Oryza sativa Japonica Group: one gene and its partners. Each later gene encodes a partner of the first gene's protein in a complex. Links are inferred from orthologs where the notes say so. Each region holds a gene or a part of one and is shown in the gene's direction. Other genes may lie near its edges. The genes, in order: large ribosomal subunit protein bL9c, large ribosomal subunit protein uL29c and large ribosomal subunit protein uL4c.

Region 1 (4,359 bases):
ACCGCGCCCGAGCTGCGCGCCACGGTGGCCACCTCCTCAGCCGTGGAGCCCGGGTCGGCGGCGACCACCACGCCACCGGCGGCCAGAACGCCAAGAACTATGGGCGGGAGCAGGAGCGAGTTGGGCGAGAGCACCAGAACGGCGTCGCCACGGCGGAGGCCGAGCCCGAACCGGAGCCCCGAGGCGAGGGAGAGCGCGGCACGGCGGAGGGCGACGAACGAGAGCGTCGTCGTTCGTCCGCCGCCGGCGCCGGCGACGTCGACGACGAAGGCGGCAGCGGCGGAGGCCGTGGTGTCGGGGTGGGGCAAGCGGGAGAGCACGAAGGACGCCGCGTCGCCGGCGGCGGCGGCGGCCGAGTACTCGGATTCCAAGATTTCCTCCATGGTATTGGTATCTCGATCTTTGGGTGTAACGATCGATGGAGAATTGGATTGGAGATGAAGCGAAGGTGGAAGAGGGTGTGAGGATTTTTAAAGTTTTGGCGCGCTAGCTAGCTTAGCTAGCTTCGTGGAGTCCGCTTGTTTGGTTTCTCCGATGGCGGGAAGGACGAAGTCATGGACGGCTGCATGACATGACGACGACGATGACATATACTCGATTATATACCCCTCTTCTCTTCGGTTTTCTCATCTCGTTGAGCAGTAGACATACTAATTCAATAAGATATATAATCGCCATTCTTTTTAAGAACGATTTGCTAGGTTTTTTTTTAATTTTTGTTCCTTTCGAGAAACAGGTCACCAGCTGGAGATCTTTGTCAGAAAAAGTACAACAAGATGATACTGGAGTATGATATACGAGGATGATATTTTGATGATACTCGTTGATAATTAAACAATGATACTTGATTATACTCTTTGATATTATTCATGAAGATACGGAGTATTTGCTAATACTCGTTCTTGCACATTGATACTTGATGATACTCGTTGATATTTGCTTATACTATTAATACACGTTTATACGTAATGGTAGCTAGTGATGTATCGTTGAGTTTCAAGATAGCACCAAAATAGTGTTATAATAATATATTTCTCGATTTATGTTATAACATGAATATTAGTGAAGGACCTAATATCAAATAATTAGAAGGGGTGAGGTTACGAATCCAGGTCATTTAGGCTATCACCTTGTGGAGCTAGCCGGAAGACCCCTGAGTGTTTCTCTTAATGTATGTTATAACATCTTGGCATCACATGTACTATCTATCTATCTTAGTAATATCGTCGAGGTATCACGTACATATATATCTCCTACCTTTCTCTATACGTTGAGTGGAAGGGGGTTACAATTTGGTGGATTATTATTACGACTTGTTTGGTATGAAACCATGCCAAAATATTGGCAATGCCAAATCTTGAGTAAATTTTGGTATTACTAAATTTTTGTTATTGTCTATTTGGCTTCACCTTATTGATTTAGCAAAATTTGACTCTAATTCAAATAGTTACGTGTTAACTATTCAAAGTTACCAAATAATTTATTTTTGACCTTTAAGTTATCAAAGAATTAGTAAGGCAAGAAGGAGCGCCAAACCAAAATGACCCTTAATCTTCAAGCCCATGACAACCCCGAAGAAAACCTTTGATACTGGGCCGATTTGAAAGGCCCAAAGCAGCGCAAAGCCCAAGAGAGAGGGCACCAAATCCGTTGGGGAAGTGGATAAGAGAGCAGCAGCCGCAGTTCCTTCCCTTCCCCCGCAATCCATCCCCAACGCCATGGCCTCCACGCTCGCCTGGAGCTCCGCCGCCTCCTCCTCCGCCCCCTCCTCCCGCCTCCCGCCGCGCCGCTCCCCGTCGCTGGTCGTCGTCGCCCAGGGCAAGGTCAAGAAGTATCGCCAGGTTTGGCTTCCACTTGTATTTTCTCTCCACAGTTGCAGCATGTATGTATGTATGTATTTAATTGCGATTCGTTCGAGCTAAGCAGTACTAGTACTGACTGATTGAACAAGCTGTTGCTGGTGATGCTTTTGTTTTGCCTCTTTTAGAACTAGCCATACCCAATGTACTGTCTGTCACCACCCTGTCCACTAATCAGTACAGTAGATTACAAAGCGCATGCGACTGCATTCCATCGATCGAAAAATTCGAAATGCAGCAGCTGTAAGCTTAAGATTACTGTGTGCATTCACACATCTGAGTATAGGAAAAGATACATTGCCATGGACGCATGCTCTGATGCAGTACATGGAAATGGAAGAAACTATCGTCATGTTTTTAATTAGGTGCCTCTTAGCATTGCAACTCAGATGCAAAAGTCATCTCTAATATGATTCTGTATATGCCCCGGAACGCCGGAATTGTTGGTTTGGCCATGCTGTTTGTTTGTAGGGAAAGTTGCAACTAAAAGGCATCTAGATACACCCAGTTCAAAATTTGCACCTGTAAACTGTAAAATGTTCCAAGCCTATGTCATCATCTTCCTTGTCTATTATGCATTTCTATACTTTAGCATGTAATGCACGATTCCGTATTTGATTTACTTCACTTGAGTTTCTTTTTCTCCCAGGTCATACTGACAGATGACATAGCAGAGGTGGGGAAGAAAGGGGACACGCTTAAAGTGAGGGCCGGGTTCTACCGCAACTTCCTTCTGCCAAAGGGCAAGGCAACGCTGCTCACCCCAGAAGTACTCAAGTAATCTTCTGTCTTACAGTCATTTACCACATCTCACGAATTGTATAGGCTATGTTTCAACCAACAGATAGGTGCTCCTAGTAAATTAATTGACGTATGCTTATGTTTCATCGTAGTTGGTTTTCACAGTATGCTGCAGGTGTAAATTTGCAGCTATTTATTCTGTTGTGTTAGCCATTGTATCTCTTGCCTCCTTGTGGAGCCCAGGATTGACATATAAATCTGCAAACTTTTATAGATGCCTATTCTGCATTTCTAGTTCAGTTCTTCTGGGGTGTTCAACATGTTCAATTAGTTCTTGTAAAAGGATGGCTAGTAAGCTACTTAATTTCCTCTGCTGCTGTCTACAGGGAAATGCAAGTAGAACAGGAGAGGATAGATGCTGAAAAGAAGCGGGTAAGTAAACCTATTATTCTATTTGTGGACTCAGTAAGAATTGATATAGTTGAAACTTATTCCTATTTGTTCCTGTCTGTCTAAAAACTACTGTGGTAGTTATACCCTACTAATCCTTGTTCTCCAGGGTACGTAGTTGTGGTTTAGCTTATTTTGTAAAAAGTCTAAAGCATGATTTGTTCCTACCAATATCATTTTCCATAAGAGTATAAGAACTTTCATCCAGTGTTAGCATAATCTTACCCTGTTGAGCATTTGTGCTTGAGTAGGTAAAAGAAGAGGCACAGCAACTTGCCCGTGTTTTTGAAACTATTGGGGCATTCAAAGTGCCACGTAAAGGTGGGAAAGGAAAACAGATATTTGGGAGGCAAGTTTTTATCGAGTAGATAGTTCTTTATGTATCGTCTTATTTTACTTGCACTTAATAACAAGTTTTTCTTCTATTCTACAGCGTCACAGCACAAGATCTTGTTGACATCATAAAGTCACAACTTAATAGGTATGCCCTTCTAAGTGCACTGACAATCACTACCTTTTAAGGAAGGATTGCGATGCTCTATTTGCTGCTGTTGCTTTGCTTACCGGAAACTATTTCATGTAGGGATGTCGACAAGCGTCTCGTGACAGTGCCAGAAATTCGTGAAATTGGGGAATACATTGCAGAGATTAAGCTTCACCCTGAAGTCACAGCTCAAGTAAGGCTGACCGTATATGCGAAATAAGCCCTGAAGCTGCTTGATTGAATCTTTAGTGGATGGTGGGCTTTGGATGAATTCTGATTTCACCAGGTAAGCTCATCTGCAAGGCATTCCATTGTTCCTTACCTTTTGCTCCGTTCTTAAGCTGTCATATACATTTCGTCAATTGTGTTAGCAGCTGAATTCATGCAATGATTTACTTGCAGAGATTTTTGCTGAAACTCCAAGGTGCAGTGTCACATCACGGGGCTTGGTCTTTACACATTGCCACTGTCCATCCTACCTGTAAAGTCAGTTTCTTGCACCTTTTTTTTTTTGACAAATTTATTTGTGTTAATGTTATGGGGTTAAATGGGCATGATGTAAACAACAAAGGGTTCAGAGTCTAGAGCAACTGATACTTGTCTTGTAATCTTGTTTAAAGGTGCACGTTCTTTATAGTCATATAGTTTGATAGAGCTACTACAATATTTGGGTTGGGTGGGCCAAAATGGCACGTAGGCAGTCTGGTGGTCGTAGGTTGGGCCGCTTGGTCGCTGTATTATTAGGCCCAAACATAGGGATTTCAACACATTTTTTAATGAAAACTTTCATCTGAAAAAACCTTCGTTTGGAAACTTCCATCCAGA
Region 2 (4,353 bases), about 3.6 Mb from region 1:
AAAAAATAATTTCATATGAATTGCATATCATTTCATAGAAATTATCTGTCAGCATATACCGCCATACCAACTCGATAAAACCACAGCCCAATCATTCTCATCCTCATCCATCGTATTCATCTGAGCAATCCTGCGTCCATTTTGGGAAAAAAATAAATCCGGTCCTGGTACAGAGTGCACGTCATATCGACATAGCCGTTGTATTTGTATGCACCCCTGATACGGCTCATCATGTAGATGCACAATCTTTTACGCCTTAATGCTCACAGTGAATGAACGAACTTCTCGTAGAAAACAAATTGAGTAAAGCAGTTATAACTTGATATATTGCTGTGTTCACAGAGAAAGCAACATGAAAAAAAAAGAGAGTAAAATGGTAGTAGGACTTAATATACCATTACGCATTTACGCTCACAGTGAAAGATCAAATCTCTCTCTCTCAAAAAAGGAGTGCAACAGTCAGACTTGATGCACAATCCATATGCTTCTTGATTCTGCATACCTTTCTGTCATTGTGTATTCAGCTTGTTAATTTCTGCTTTACATCGTTGAAGTGTTTCTGGTTGCTAAATAGGACAAATTTTATACTTGTAGATATACAAATACACTTAATTGAACTTGATTAACATAATTCTGTACAGAGCACAGCTTAAGCAGGCAAAGGTGAACAGAGATGTAGTTAACATGCCTTGGTGCTGATGTGTGAAGGTGTTCCAGATGCTTGGTCTTCTGCTACCCTCAGCTGCACCACCCTCGTACTGTAAGTCAAGAAAGGCCAACTCTTCAGATTTCAGACAAAGACAAAACATGTTACAATGTGACAGTTAATTTTTGGCAACTCATTCATTCCTTGGTGCCAATCTGAGCATTATTCAGTAGCATCGTGTAACACGCAAAAATCAACGAAAACAACAAAAGAAATTCCTTCTTTTTTCTTAATTACAGGTGGAATTAATCAGCTGTGGTGTGAAACTGTGAACCCGTAGGGAAGCAGGGGAGGGAGCTCCCGCTCCTGCATGACGGCATCCGGCGGCGGTAGCACGGTCCTCAGCCACGCCCTTTGTTGCACGGCCAGTGGCCTCCGTCCGAGATCCCCTTGGTGCCGCGACTTGGGGAGAGAGGCGGTCGGCGAATCAAAAGGCAGAAGCGAAGACGGACGTAGCGATGCATGTGATTTCCTCCTCCCCATCCCCAAGCACGGCAACCGAACTCATCGCCCCATCCAGCGACGAGGTGGATCTATGCCACCGCCGCCGAACTTGAGGGGAAAGACGGCACAGAACGGCGCGCTGGCGCGTGGGAGGGTCAGCCTAGGGCGTCGGAGGGGCGGAGGTGGAGCTGGAGCGCGGGGAGGAGGAAGAGGCGGCGACATCGGCGTAGGAGGACAAGTCGACCTCCGACGAATGAGGCGGAGGAAGCGGGGGCGGGGGCGCCGGCGGAGAGAAGGGCATTGCAGGTTTGGTATAACTTTTTCAAAAAGACCCCTAAAACCTCACATATTACAACGAGGTCCACCGCAGCTATTCCACACCGTTGATCTGTGATCTGACGGCTGCGAGAGGGAGACGAAAGCTGGAATCGTGCAGCGCCACGTGGAGGGGTTATTTGCACGCGAATCCGCGTAGATTTCGATATTTAGAGATGTGACATGCATATTAAGCAAGTGAAAGCCGTCCGATAATGCTTGAAGATTCGTGCCCCGAGTGGCTAATCAACATGACCAGATAAACCCCCTTATCCACGAACCCCGACCGGCAGAGAGCGCAGACGCGAGCGCAGCGCAAAAGATGGCGACGATGTCCCTCGCCGCGGCGTCCCCCCTCGCCTCGACTCCCCGTGGGCTCGCCGTCTCCACTCCCCGCACGGCCTTCCTCGGCCTCCTGACCGGAGGGGCGTCGCTGGCGCCGTTCCCGGGACTGGCGGCGGCGGCGGCGCCGCCGCGGCTGCCAGCGGGGAGGGGCGACGCGGCCGTGGCCAGGATGGCGAAGAGGGAGCAGGAGCTGGAGGAGATTCGGGCCATGCCGACGGAGAAGATCGAGGAGGAAGTGGTGGACCTGAAGGGGGAGCTCTTCATGCTCCGCCTCAAGCGCTCCGCGCGCCAGGAGTTCAAATCCAGCGAGTTCGGCCGCATGCGCAAGAGGGTATGTCTCTTACTCCATGGGGTACAGATATACCACAACTGCTAATTCCATTGCGAAAGTTTAGCATTTACTCCTGGCCAAAATGCGTTCAACCTACGAGTGGAAATTCCACCTTCTACTTCCAAATGGGTGTGGAGTGGTCGCATGTTCTGCTCAGTGTGTTCTGTTTACAAGGCCCTTTTGTTCAACCTCTAGTACTGAGTTGATTATGTTCAGATATATTGAGTTGATTTCAGGTTCAGAATAGTGGAATAACTTACCAATTTGTTGGTGGAATTTTGCCTGATTTTTATCAGTTGCATATTGGCCCATACTGAATTTACAGATGATTTGGGTTAATGCTTGGACAATTTCAGTCTCAGAAGCAATTTTTTTTTACTTAATTTGATTAGAAAGTCATGCTGACATCCATTTACGTATTCTTACATAGTATCTACTTTGGGTTTGTAGTATTGTTTATTGGATTTTAGTGCATAGAGTACTACATGAAGAATGATATTGCAATGCAATGTGTATCTGAAGAGCTTTTATACTGTTCTTGGGAAAGTAGTGTTAAATTAACCTTCAGTGGACCAAAATTTAAAATGGAACAAAACTTTGTTCTGAGGACGTCAAAATGCAGATAGTACACAAGAACTAATTCTACGGTCAGTTATGTGATACCTTGTTCTTCTTGAGGGCTTCTGATAAGTCAATTGTTATGAATTATCACTTGCTTTGGAGTTCAGGTCTCCACCTCTGCTCAGGGACAGCACAGGACAAATAGTTAGCAGCAGAGTAATGCATACTTATATCTGCCTCGATCAATGCTTCTTGCCTTTTAGGAGGAGGATATCAGATTTTTTTTTCCTGTTGTTTTTCTCACCCTGCTCATCTTGCTTCAATAGCAGCTTTCTACTATCTAAATTTAGCATTGACTTGGGTTGTCATCTTCGCATCAGATTGCTCGTATGCTGACTGTCAAAAGAGAACGGGAAATTGAACAAGGAATCAACAAGAGATTGTCTAGGAAGCTTGACAGGAAATGGAAGCAAAGCATCGTGGTTAGACCACCACCATCTCTAAGGGAGAACAAGGAGGAATAGAGAGCCACAAAAGCAGACAGTCTGTAGAAGTCATTTCATGCATGTCTTGAAGGAAGGTTTCTTTCTCCCTGTGGTTTCATTCCTTATAATGGATTGATATGTAATTCACATTAACTGATTTCCAAGTCCTTGCTGTCAAAACCAAAAGTTCTATTACCAATTCCATTTGTGTAAATTTCAGTTTATTCAAAATGTGTTGTCCATATATGCACTTATATTACTGATATATGAAACTGTGCTTAACGAGTGTATGCTATACACTTGTTGAAACTCAAACTGCCTATTCAAATTCACCTGTCACAAAGTTGTGGGTACGTACATACTATAAGAGGCAGATATGCAGAGTTCTAAAGAAGTGTCTCTGGAATACGGAGTAACAAAAACAAGAGAATTAGGCCATGTCTATAATAGTTCGCTTGGAATTTTGGTGCCCTGCTTTGCTCCAAACTCAAGTTCACTGTTTTATCAAACGTTTCAAAACTGTACAACTGTCTCCAAGCCCACGTTCTTGTGGCTTGTTGTGTCGGTCACCTAGATTTATGTTATTGTTCAACACTGATTTATGCTTAAACTAGCTCTGTTAGACTGTCCTAAAGCATGTTGGGCTTTCCCCTTCTACTCTAGCTTTAGAGTATGCTGCAGGTATCTCTGCACAGAGCTAGGGAGCCATCCTAGATCCATCATCAGTTTCATAAGCAAGCCCAGGTGGCTTGGCCCTTCAGCCAAAACTTGTTATTCTGATCTCTTCAACAGATCTTAACTTGAGATGTAGAGAGGCTTCACTCACAAGGTAATCTTTTAGTCAACTATTGTCTTCCTCTTTTTTTAGCTAATTGTTTAGTGAGCAGAGTACTGAGTTGGTGATTGTTTGAAGATAAATGCCAACAAGTGGAAATAGCATCCATGCAATTCTTTTGTTGAAAGTCTCAAGTCATCAAGGTCGAAGTGATGTTGCTGATAATTTGGTTGGGTAGATAAGAAATGAAATGAAGAGGATATCAGCCCCAGTTAATTGCAGCAATTTTATTTCAAACGCCATGCCTTGTCTTTGTTATGCCTTTTGGCACTGAGCCGCTGACTCTCTCACTGACAGGTGTGGTTCAGGCCCAATGCCACTGAGAGAAGCT
Region 3 (4,267 bases), on another chromosome or scaffold:
ACCAGCCTTGTTAAGAAGTTACCATCGAAGCCATTAAGATGATCTAGGTTGTACAAGAGTTAGTTCCCTACTTATACCACAATTGTTTCCATAAAGCGATGGACAGAGTTGCCAAGCGCCCCTGTTAGGAGATATCAAGTTATCTGTGAGACTCTGATCGACTGTAGGCTCTCCAAAAAAAGGAGATTAAAGATGTAGTACAATTACCACTGTGATTCTTGTAGGAACCAATAATGATGGTATATATTGGGTAGGCTATCTCTGTTGCTCGTGTAAAGTATACTGTTATGGAAGATTGAAACACTAGAAAATAAGTTGGCAATGAGAATCGCAAGCGCTAGTCATCTGTTCAGATTACTTGAGTTTCTTTAGCTTGTTTGTTAGAGCTAACCGAGAAGAGGATCGCAATCGTGAAAACTTCGCAAGTGTTCAGAACAAAAGTAGAAGTAGAAAATTTGGAGTTCCTGTCCATTTTTAGCATAACTGTGTCTATGGTGCGCCCCATCTGTCAATGTGGTTCTCAGGCAACTGTTCTGATACACAAGTGCTAATGAGCAATCTGACCCGACAAAAAGGAAATGAAATTTAATTTGATTATTTCAAACTCATTTTGGTGAAACTAAGCCTCCTTCTTTACTAAGATGCAAATTCTTCCTAACACATTTTTTAAACTGCTAAATGGTATGTTTCATATGAATTTTTTACATAAAAATATTTTAAAATATCAAATAAATCAATTTCAAGTTTAAAATAATCAAAACTTAATTAAACATAAGCTAATGGGCCGTTTTCATTTTGCTTTCCTATTTTATTTCATCTTTATTAGAAAAAAAACACCATCTAATAGACTAATACTGCCTCGAGGGTTTTTCTTTAACAATATCTAAGTTTTTTTAATGAAGAGATGCTTCTTCTAAAATCCAAACACATAGTAGTGTGTGTATCTTACTGGTCTGGCGCGACCGACTAAGCTGACACTCGCGAGAGTGTGGCCGGTCCGGTCGGGTGGGGGTGGATAAGGAGATAGAGAAGCGGCCGCTCCGCAGCTGCAGCGGCAAAGCCTCCCCGTCGTCCAGCCCACGCAGCGCACCGCAGCGAGCGAAGCCGCCGCAATGGCCGCCTCCTCCGTGGCCTCGACTCTCCTCCTCTCGCTCTCCTCTTCCTCCTCGCCCTTCCTCTCCCCCACCTCGGTCTCCTTCCTCCCATCCGCCGCCGCCGCCGCCTCCTCCTCCCCGCGCGTCGCCGTCGCCGCCGGCAAGCAGAAGGCGGCTATCTCCGTCCTCCGCGCCCTTCGCGCCGAGGCGGCCACCCTCCCGGTTCTCTCCTTCACCGGGGAGAAGGTCGGGGAGGTCGCCCTCGACCTCAAGTCGGCGCCGCCCTCCACCGCGCGCGCCGTCGTGCACCGCGCCATCATCACCGACCGCCAGAACAAGCGCCGCGGCACGGCCTCCACGCTCACCCGCGGCGAGGTCAGGGGAGGCGGCAGGAAGCCCTACCAGCAGAAGAAGACGGGGAAGGCGCGGCGCGGGTCGATGCGCACGCCGCTCCGCCCCGGCGGCGGCGTCATATTCGGGCCCAAGCCCCGCGACTGGTCCATCAAGATCAACCGCAAGGAGAAGCGCCTCGCCATCTCCACCGCGCTCGCCAGTGCCGCCGTGGCCGACGATGCATTCGTCGTGGAGGAGTTCGACGAGGAGTTCGCCGCGGGTCCCAAGACCAGGGACTTCGTGGCCGCGCTTCAGCGGTGGGGGCTCGACCCCAAGGAGAAGGCCATGTTCTTCGCCACGGATTTTGCAGACAATGTGCGGCTCAGCGGAAGGAACATTGGCTCCCTCAAGATGCTAACCCCCAGGACTCTCAACCTATACGACATCCTCGATGCCCGCAAGCTCTTCTTCACCCCGGCCGCCATTAACTATCTCAACTCCAGGTATGGTGCCACCGTTTTTGATGAATATGAGGATGATACCAATGGCGAGGATGATGGTGAGGAGGAAGCAGAGGAGTTGCAAGAAGGAGAAGGGAGCGCAGAGGAGGCTGCTCAAGGTACATAGCTATGCATGAACAATTTCCAGGTGTCTTTTTATTGTTTCTATGGTGGGCATGTGCGAAATGACTTTGAGTAACTAATGCTATCCAGTGATCCTTTATTTTACATGTTTTAGTTGATAGTTAGGAGAGAAAATGCTCTGCTTTAATGGCATGTACAGTAGTTTTTTTTTTTATCTTTTAACTCTTAGCTATGCTCTGTTGTAAATATCATGATCGATGCTATACGTATGCTGATAAAGATCCTGACATGCGTTTTAAGGGTAAAAACAAGATAACGTGGCAAAGAAACAGAAAATGTAGCCAGTTTTGTCTTATGAATACCATCTTAATTATTATGGAGAAATTCTTTGTGGCCTTGTAGACTTATGGAGCTAATTTTTTTTTCGAAATAGTTCTCTTATCCTTACCAGCATGCAAAAGGAAAAATGCTTACCATGCTAATGTACATCGTATGGTTTTTTTTCCTCCTGAAAGATCCAATAAGTCCATGACATAATTCAATGGTCTATTTTAGAAGCATGCTTAGAGATCCACCTACCCCTATGCTAGCTCTCAGTAGACCCACTGAGTCTGTATTTTACTCGTTATTTTGCACCTCCTTAGGGTTTTTATTCAGAGCTCATGAGCAACTCAACAATTTGCGAATAGAAAATGACTTCACCTAATGGTGGTTAAATTTTCGGCTGAAGGTGGATTAAGTCCTAAGCACTAAACTAAAAAATAAGAAGAAATGAGACTGCATGGAATCCATGAACACCACTGAACCAGAACTCTGGGGATACTGGTACACTCCTTATAATAGTGTCACAATCTGCTGTGCCACACAGCTACCCCTATCACCTATCACTTGAAACATTGTCAGCCATTGGCACTGTCATCATTCACTTCAAAGATGTTCTGTTAGACCTTAGAACCATCTTAATAAAGTAGTTAGCTGTGAATATGCTGGTTTAAGTTGCTTTAGAGGTAAAACCTAGTTAAACACATGTTTTCTCCATCACTCAAGCACTTCCTTTTCGTAAATACTATGCATAGCTACAGGACTAAGTTATTATTAATTGACATTCAGTTCTCTGTTACATTTTGGTGCTGCATATTATAACTTTCTCTTATTTTGAGCATTTCTCAGGAACTTCTTTTTGTATGACTTTCAGATGAGGCTGCAGAGACTGAGGCTGATAGCAATTCCTAGGGAAGGAGGTGTAGATCGCGTGTTTTTCGTTTGTTGGTCTGGTAATTGCTTCCCTGATGCAGAAGCTTTTTGGCTTACTTTTGTTGTAAGTTTATAATGTTTTTTTTTCACTGATGCAGTATATTAGATCTTCAAACTGCACATATATTTTCAAATACAATGTCGTGTCAACCACTGCATATTTTTCTTCCAATTTTATACAGAAAGTGCTTCCCAATCTTGCTTCAAAAAACCAGTGTTGACCTGCTGGTTACCACTAATTTTCTACTCCCTCCGTTTCATATTATAAATCATTTTGACTTTTTTTTCCTAGTCAAACTTATTTAATTTTGACCAAAATGATAGAAAAAATAATAACATTTTTAACACAAAACAAACATGTTATCAAAAATATATTCAAAGTTACATTTAATAAAACTAGTTTGGTATTATAAATGTTACCATTTTTTTTCTATATACTTAGTCAAACGTACAGAAGTTTGACTCCGAAAAAAGTCAAAACGACTTATAATATAAAATGGAGAGAGTAACATCTTGAGTAGGGGTATGATTACAAAATCTTGTCTCCTTAAATTGTTGAATTGTTCCTTGTTATGACTAACTTTTTCGCTGGGTGAGCTCTAACAAGTAACAACTAACAAGTCTTTTCAGAGGACTTGCTGCATTTTACAATGTGGAAAGTAGCCTAGCTCAACTTGGACATGGAGCACTGGAGCAGCATAGCCCGGGTTAGATGCTGATCTTGAAACTCTAAGCCCAGATCAGTCGTAAACAACAGACCATTTTGCTCAGGTTTACTTGTAGATCACCTGAGGGTTTAGTGAACCAACCCTCTGCTTATGCCTAACCATAATGATTCCATCATTTTTCTTTCTTACCTGGGTCATGCAAGAAGAGTTGTTGGGCCATCCTTAAGTCCACCCAGACAACTTTGGACCAGATCATCACCTTTCTAATTGTTCTGACATTGCACTACAAGTGGATTATGGGCTTATGGGCAAAGCTGCGTCTGTACTTTAGAAA

Evidence for each region.
Region 2: large ribosomal subunit protein bL9c (region 1) and large ribosomal subunit protein uL29c share a complex: the UniProt entries of both Arabidopsis thaliana proteins name them as parts of the 50S ribosomal subunit. The link is inferred for Oryza sativa Japonica Group from reciprocal best matches to the Arabidopsis thaliana genes RPL9 and AT5G65220.
Region 3: large ribosomal subunit protein bL9c (region 1) and large ribosomal subunit protein uL4c share a complex: the UniProt entries of both Arabidopsis thaliana proteins name them as parts of the 50S ribosomal subunit. The link is inferred for Oryza sativa Japonica Group from reciprocal best matches to the Arabidopsis thaliana genes RPL9 and RPL4.

Annotation. Positions count from the first base shown.
Region 1 is NC_089036.1:35,818,999-35,823,357, reverse strand, and holds large ribosomal subunit protein bL9c, read left to right. Parts: upstream 1-1,699; 5' UTR 1,700-1,718; coding exon 1,719-1,841; intron 1,842-2,508; coding exon 2,509-2,636; intron 2,637-2,986; coding exon 2,987-3,032; intron 3,033-3,301; coding exon 3,302-3,399; intron 3,400-3,483; coding exon 3,484-3,531; intron 3,532-3,633; coding exon 3,634-3,754; 3' UTR 3,755-3,820; intron 3,821-3,936; 3' UTR 3,937-4,174; downstream 4,175-4,359. Other genes in the region: 4-coumarate--CoA ligase-like 3, read right to left, coding at 1-383. UniProt on the Arabidopsis thaliana protein: Binds to the 23S rRNA.
Region 2 is NC_089036.1:32,213,300-32,217,652, forward strand, and holds large ribosomal subunit protein uL29c, read left to right. Parts: upstream 1-1,756; 5' UTR 1,757-1,787; coding exon 1,788-2,141; intron 2,142-3,082; coding exon 3,083-3,226; 3' UTR 3,227-3,502; downstream 3,503-4,353.
Region 3 is NC_089037.1:8,802,753-8,807,019, forward strand, and holds large ribosomal subunit protein uL4c, read left to right. Parts: upstream 1-1,044; 5' UTR 1,045-1,112; coding exon 1,113-2,046; intron 2,047-3,206; coding exon 3,207-3,244; 3' UTR 3,245-3,461; downstream 3,462-4,267. Other genes in the region: peroxisomal nicotinamide adenine dinucleotide carrier, read left to right, coding at 1-42. UniProt on the Arabidopsis thaliana protein: This protein binds directly and specifically to 23S rRNA. May play a role in plastid transcriptional regulation.